Linked DNA regions of Oryctolagus cuniculus. The protein of the gene in region 2 interacts with the protein of the main gene of each other region in a pairwise test. Links are inferred from orthologs where the notes say so. Each region holds a gene or a part of one and is shown on either strand. Other genes may lie near its edges.

Region 1 (3,740 bases), on a different chromosome or scaffold from region 2:
GGGGCTCGAGCAGGGGGGCCGGCGGGCGGGGCAGGGGCGGCAGGGCACGCTCCAGCACGCGGGGCCCCTCCCAGGCGGGGATCGGCAGCCCCAGGTGCTTCATGAGCTGCGTCATGACGTCATCGACGTAGCCGTGGATACGCAGGTCTGCATGGCGGTCCTGCGGGGGGGGCACAGAGGGGTGAGGCGGGGCGGCCACGGCGGCGGGGGGCCGGGTGGCGGGGCGGCACCTACGTGCTTGGTGGGCTGCAGGTTCACGATGACCAGGCGCCCTCCGCGGCGCTTGGTGGCCAGCGGCAGGTTCCCACTGGGCCGGATCTGCAGCGAGGTCCCCAGAGTGATGGACAGGTCCGCGTTCCTGGGGGGGGGAGCCGGCTGCTGGGCCGCCACCTCCAGGTAGCCCTCCCGGACTTCGCCCAAGTCCCTGCTGGCTGTGTCTCCCCGTTTCCTCCCCCCGCCACTGTGAGCGCGTGGGGGTGCGGTGGGGGCGGGGAGGCAGGGGTCAGACCTGCTGGCCTCGTCGGCGAGGGCCAGGTCCCGGTCGGGGAGGGCGTCTTCCCAGTCCAAGATGGTGTCTCTCAGCTCCCCCCTGCAAGGCAGAGCGGGTGGGGGGTGCAGCCGGGGGCGGCTGGGGGGCGGGCGGGGGGCGGGGAGGCGGGGGGGGGCTCACCTGCAGGCCCGCAGCCCCCGGGCCTTGGCCACGGTGCAGAGGCGCCCGGTGGCCTTGAGGCCCATGCTGCCCACCACGGCGTCGCGGACGTACTGCCTGCGGGGGGAGGGGCGTGCGGGGAGGTGGGGGCGCGGCCCGGCCCCTCCCTCCCGGGGTCCCTGGGCGCCTGGAGCCACCTGCTCTGGGGGAGGGGCCGGTCCCAGCTCCGCCTGCGGCCCCGGAGCCCCGCGGGAGTTCAGACAGGGGCTCTGGGTCTGGGGCAGCCCTCGGCCCTGAACTTGGCCTCCACGGCCCGCGGACGGCCCCACTCACGTCTTGCACTTGGCACACTGTTCCACGAACATGTTCCCGTGCAACTCAGCCAGCTTGTCCCTGCGGGAGAGGCAGACGGAGGCTCCGGCTCGAGGCCGCCGCCTCCAGGAAGCCTGCCGGGACCGCTCGCGCGCCGCAGCTGCCCGCACCCCCCGGGGCCGGCGGTACCTGGGGAAGCCGGAGCGCACGTGCAGCCCGTCCACGTTCTGGCTGACCAGGAAGCGCAGGAGGCCCACGCGCTGCAGCTGCACCAGCGCCATGTGCGTCTGCGTGGGCCGCGCGCTCTCGAAGGTCGTGTCGAACTTGGGCGCCAGGCCGCGCTCCTCCATGGTCCACACGCCGTGGGGGCCCCTGGGGCGGCGCGCAGGGAGAGGGGGCCTGGGACTCAGGGCGGGGGGCGGGGCTGGCGGCGCCCTGGGCGACCCGGGCGCTGGCCCTGCCGCGACGCGCCCTCCCGCGCCCACTGACCTGAAGTCGGGGATGCCCGAAGCCGTGCTGATGCCCGCGCCCGTGTGGACCACCACGTTGGCCGACTGCCAGATGAGCCAGGCCAGCTCCCGCACCTTGCGCTCCAGCTCCTCGGGCGGGTCGAAGATCTGGCGGGCGGGGGCGCAGAGGGCGCGGCTCGAGCGCGGTGGCCCCCTGCCCCGGCCCCCTCGCTGCTTCTGCGCCGCCGCTGGCCACAGGACCTTTGCACGGGCCGTGTCCACAGGGACCGCCCCCCTCGCCGCCGCCTTGCCCCGCCAGCTGGGCTGGTGTCAGTGCGCCCCCTGTCTGTGCCCGCACTGGAGTGGCAGCTGCTCGGCTGGCTCGCCCCCCACCCCAGGCTCCGGGCCCAGCCCCCAGCCCCCAGGCTCCGGGCCCAGCCCCCAGCCCCCAGCCTGCGCCCGGCCCACAACAGGTGTCCAGTGAGTTCCGGGACAGGAGGAACCACACCAGCCCGAGGCGTGGGGCTCCCGCCGGCACCCGCAGCGGGGCCCGCCTGCCCGGGGAGGGGGCCCTCCTCGCCCCCTCCCACCCCGATTCACAGGAAGGGGGCGTGGAGACCCAGGAGGAAGTGGGGGGGGCGTGGAGAAGCCGGGGGTCGCCCCGCTCGCCCTCCCGGCCGACTCCCAGCTCGCGCCCCCTCCCCATCACCCCGGGGACCCCGGCCCAGCCCCCCCACCCCGGGCAGCCGCGCTCGGGGTCCCCGGCGCGCGGGGGGCGTCACTTCCCGCCCCCTGGGAAGTCCCTCCCCTTGTCCAGCCGGGCGCCCCTCGGTGTTCCCGCGATGCCCCGCCCGCGGCCCCCCGGGGGCGGCCACGCTCACCTCCGCCGGGGGCGGCCACGCTCACCTCCGGGAGGCCGCACTTGCCCTTGTCTGCGTACGGCGACAGCCCCGCCGCGTAGTTCACCGACATCCTGGCCGCCCCGGCGGGAACAATAAAGTTTCCCTTGTTGAGGCGGCTTCCGCCGGAAACGGGGTGGGGCGGGCAGGAAGGCGGAACCGCGTTGACGGACGCGCCTGCCGGGGCGCATGCGCGCGCGTCGCGCTGACGCCGCGGACGCCATCTTAAGTACTGGCAGGGAGGGAGCCCGGCTTTTGCAAGCCCCTGGGCTGGGGGCGGGGAGTTGCAGCGGCTTCCCGCGTGAGAGGTGGCCCCGAAATGAGGGCGCACAGCGCTCGGGGGCCCCTTGCCCTTTTTACTGATTAGTGAACCTGACGCAGATGTGCCCTGGACTCCATGCAGTTAGGGTCCCCGGGGGGCGCTCTGTGGTCCCTGAGCCTTATCCCGGGGGATTGGCCAGTAGGCAGCTGGACAGGTCACGCATGCTGCGCACCTACTGTGTGAGGGGCCTCAGAGGGGGCTCCTGCCCCAGCCTGGGGCATCCTGGAAGGCTTCCTGGAGGAGGCAGGCCAGGAGCTGGCTGAGGTGCCCAGGGCAGCCCGTGGCTCCTTCCAGAAACTGAAACCCAAGCAGTGGGGATGGGGGGAGCACGGCGTCTCCCCCCCAGCCTCGTGGCCAACGGGCAGCCCAGCTGCCGCCTGTCCCCTCCCTCGCTCATCCCCAGCCTCGCGGCCGATCGGGTGTCGGAGCCAGCCGGGCGCCGGGAGCCGCGGGTATCAGCTCCAGGCCCAGCTGGGAGCGGGTAACCGGAGCCGGCGGTGGGCACGGGGCACCGGAGCCGCGGGAGGTAGGCGAGGGGCCTGGGGTGGGGGCTCCACTTAGGTGAGAGGCAGGGCCGGGGCCGAGCTGCACCTGCCGGCGTCCACCGCGCCTGGGGGTCGCAGCCCCACCCTGCCTCCCCGGCCCGGCGCTTTGGGGACACGGAGGACCCCGGCCCCTCCGCTGAGCCCAGGGACTCCCACGGCCCAGGCCGCCTCTCGGGCAGGTGCAGGGCGCCCCGCCCCTACTCCCTGGCAGGAGGCCCCCAGGTAGGGGTGGTCCTTCCCCGGGGACCCCCCTCTCACGCAGCGCCCCCTGGAGACGCCCCGCGGGCCTGCACGCAGGTGGACGGGAGGGAGTGGGGTCCCGGAACCCGCCTCTGCCCAGAGGGGGCCCCGGGAGGGCCAGCGGGGGCGGTGGGGGCCAGCCTGCCTGTCCCTGCCCTCCGGGGTGGGGTCCCGCCCCCCCTGCCACCCCTGCCCCTCCCCAGGAGGCCCGGAGAGACGAGGCGAGGGGGACACTGGGCATGAAGACCCTCCGGGCGCGATTTAAGAAGACAGAGGTGGGTCTGAGGCCGCGGGGACCCCTGAAGCCCCCCACCCCGTCCCCTC
Region 2 (3,271 bases):
CTGATCCTCTAACCTCCCTCTTCCCTGACATATTAAAGCTTTGATTCCTTAAGTCTTTGACACGACTTCCCGCCTCCCGTGCCCCTGCCGTTTCCTCCCCTCCTCCCCCACCCCAAACCTCACTCTTCCAGTACGGGATGTTCTGACAACTCCCCGCCCCCGTGTCTTCCAATGTCCCCCCATCTCCCTCCTCTCCACGTTCTCCTTTTCTTCCTTCTTCCTCTCTCTGTCCTCTGGTGGCCTGGTCTCTGTCTCTTTTCCTAACACTTCTTCTCTTCCCCTGAGTTGCTTTCCTTTTTCCATATACTTCTGTCACTTTCTTGGTCTCTGGCTCTTCGACACCCCTGCCCCCTTTCTCTGTCTCTCTCTGTCTCTCTCTCTACCTGACTCCTGTCTTTTCCTGGCTCCACCTCTCTCTTTCCCTGTCTTTCTCTTGCCCTTCTTTCTCCGTGGCCCGGGCCCCAGTTCTGAACCAGCTGGAGGAGTTGCTGAGCGACATGAAGGCGGACGTGACCCGCCTGCCAGCCACGCTGTCCAGAATACCCCCCATCGCAGCCCGCCTTCAGATGTCCGAGCGCAGCATCCTCAGCCGGCTGGCCAGCAAGGGCGCGGAGCCGCACCCCACACCGGTAACCCTCTTGCCCCTAACTCCAGTTCTCCCTGTGGGTGCTCCTCACGCACACATGTAAACACCTCCATCAGAATCCTAAACAGTGTGGAAAAACAACTTGCTAGACGCAGTCATCACCCCCGAGTGAGTCTCCCTGCCTGCGTGGTTGCCCCTGCAGCTTCCTGGCTCTCCAGGACCCTGGACTGACTCTGACTGACTCCTCTCTGTTCCAGGCCTTCCCCCCGGGTCCCTATGCCACACCCCCGGGGTACGGGGTGGCCTTCAGCGCCGCCCCCGTAGGGGCTCTGGCCGCCGCAGGCGCCAATTACAGCCAGATGCCTGCAGGGTCCTTCATCACAGGTGAGCCGTGGTTTCTGCTCCCGCCGCTCCCCTCCCCTCCTCCCTTGCCAGGCGCATCCCTGCCGCCTGGGCTCCGTTCTTCCCATCCCTTTCTTAACCCCTCTTCATCCCCATTGTCAAAAACCTCACCCAGGGTTTTGGTAGTTTTGCGGCTGGGTTAGCTCCTACCCAAGCCTCTTGCATCCGGGGCCCTTCAAGGGTAGGTGAAGGTGACGTCAGAATGGTATAGAAAGAGCTGGAACTGGAGCTCAGTGCTGCGGCACAACAGGGGACCTCAGCAGGAGGGAGGGCTCCGTGCAGGCCTCCCCAGCCCTTCCCAGGAGAACCATGTGGCAGGAGACTGACAGACGGGATGCGACCTTGGGAGTGCCGCAGGGTTCACCTCTCCCTACCCGCTTCGCAAACAGCCGCCACCAACGGCCCTCCAGTGCTGGTGAAGAAGGAGAAGGAAGCGGTGGGGGCACTGGTGCCAGACGGGCTGGATCGGAAGGAGCCCCGAGCCGGGGAGGTGATCTGTATAGACGACTGACTGGACCCCAGGCCTGCCCTTCACCCAGGCCCCGTCCCCGAGGCCGACCCCCTGCTCAGGCTCTGGGGCCTGCTGCCGACCCTCCGCCTTCCCCACCCCTGGGGCCACCGCTGGACTAGGCGCCCCGCGGCCCCTCTCTGCAACTCCTGTCTTCAGGAAGGGCCCTTTGTCTTTCTCCACGCCCCCGCACCTGTCCCACCGAGCTCTGAGGACTGTGCCGGTGAGAAGAGCCCTGGGTGGGGGACTGTTCGCAGGGTCTTCGTGTACCTTGATCCCCCCACTGCCAGATAGACGCAGCTTCCCAGTAAGCGGTTGTGGGGAGGAAAGAGGCGGCGCCTCCCTGGTCTCCCCCCCTCCCAACCACAATATCAGCTCCATCTCCTGCAGACGTAGGGGACTAGCCTTGCCTGGCCTTTAGGAAATTTTGTGGGGGAAGAAGAGCTTTGCAGAGAGGAGGGGGACTTTTAGAGAGGGATGAAATGAACGCTGGGAGGGAGAAAGGGAAGAGGCGGGGTGGCTGCATGTTACCCCCCCATCTCTCCCCCAACGGAGGGGGGAGCAGTTACGAGGGAGGGAGCCCATTGCTGTTCAGCCTCAGAATAAAGGCGCCGTTCACTGGCTGTTACCTCCTGCGTACCGGCATCTTGTGTTGGGATTCTTAACCCTCCAAGGACCCCCCCACACACAAAAAGAATAATGGTTGGGCGATACTCCCTCAAGCCAAAGAGGAGCTCCCCAACCTGTTCTAGGGACCCAGGTAACCTAGAAAGGGTGGGAGAGAAGACCACAGGCCAGCCTTGGGGGAACGCCCGGGGCCAGGGCTCGGCTTCTGGAGGACTTCTGCCCGCCCTCCGAGGGCCTGCACACAGACCACATTTGAGTGTGTCAGGCAAGGGGCCTAGTCAGGGGACTGTTCTGCCTTTGGGACTAGAGCAAAATAGTGGAGGGCAGGCCAGGAGATGTGGGCACATCCCCGTCCCCACGGGTCGGGGACAGTGGCAGTTTGCATGGCGAACCCCCCACTTCTGCGCTGCCCCTTCACTTCTTGCTGCCCCTCTCCCAGTCTCTCTCCACACCCGCTCCTGTCTGCCCGATCCCCTCTTCTGTATCAGGTTTATTGGTTGTACATATAAATTATACTTTCCTTTCTGTGTGCTCTGTTATTTTTGGCTGGGGGTGGGTAAGGGATTAAGAAAGGTTATCGCTTTCTGCCATTTCATATTATCCATCTTTTTCATTTTATTTTAAAAAAATCTTCAGTTAACTTCCTTTTCTTCGTTTTTATTTCTCGGATCATTCAGGAAACGCGGGGCTCCTTTTCCACCCTAGCCACGTGGTGAGCTCAGTGTGGAGGTGGCTGCCTCCGTGGCCTCGGGGAGGCGCAGCGGAGCGGGGCTTCTGGGCGAGGTGCGGTGGAGGCTGCGCAGCGGGGTTCCGAGCTGTGCGGCCTGATCCCCGAGCAGTCAGTAGAGGGCACTGCAGCCCCACGGGTTCAGTTCCACTCTGCAGCAAAGGGACACACTCTTCTTTAATGGGGTCAGACCTGTGTGTGTGCCTTGCCAAAAACTGGGCAGCCGCACTTGTCCCTAGCAGGGGCTCTCAGAGGCTGAGAGGCCAGACACTGAGTTCTTGAGGCTATCATTAAAGAGCAGAGACAAGCCCAACAGTTACGTACTCAGGACAGATAACGCAGGCTGGTGCTGGCCCTAGAGCTAGAAACTCCCAAGTCAGTACTCAGAGGACTCCAGTGGGGGACACCCCAACACCTCAAG

What was found.
Region 1: the proteins of CHD3 (region 2) and SIRT6 interact in a two-hybrid assay, tested with the Homo sapiens proteins (2 studies listed by BioGRID and IntAct). The link is inferred for Oryctolagus cuniculus from reciprocal best matches to the Homo sapiens genes CHD3 and SIRT6.

What each region holds. Positions count from the first base shown.
Region 1 is NC_091447.1:59,690,048-59,693,787, forward strand, and holds the start of SIRT6 (NAD-dependent protein deacylase sirtuin-6), read right to left. Parts: upstream 2,458-3,740; 5' UTR 2,383-2,457; coding exon 2,317-2,382; intron 1,579-2,316; coding exon 1,451-1,578; intron 1,334-1,450; coding exon 1,151-1,333; intron 1,043-1,150; coding exon 983-1,042; intron 767-982; coding exon 671-766; intron 590-670; coding exon 509-589; intron 359-508; coding exon 235-358; intron 161-234; coding exon 1-160. UniProt on the Homo sapiens protein: NAD-dependent protein deacetylase, deacylase and mono-ADP-ribosyltransferase that plays an essential role in DNA damage repair, telomere maintenance, metabolic homeostasis, inflammation, tumorigenesis and aging.
Region 2 is NC_091448.1:52,452,994-52,456,264, forward strand, and holds the end of CHD3 (chromodomain-helicase-DNA-binding protein 3), read left to right. Parts: intron 1-131; coding exon 132-629; intron 630-843; coding exon 844-970; intron 971-1,377; coding exon 1,378-1,618; 3' UTR 1,619-2,648; downstream 2,649-3,271.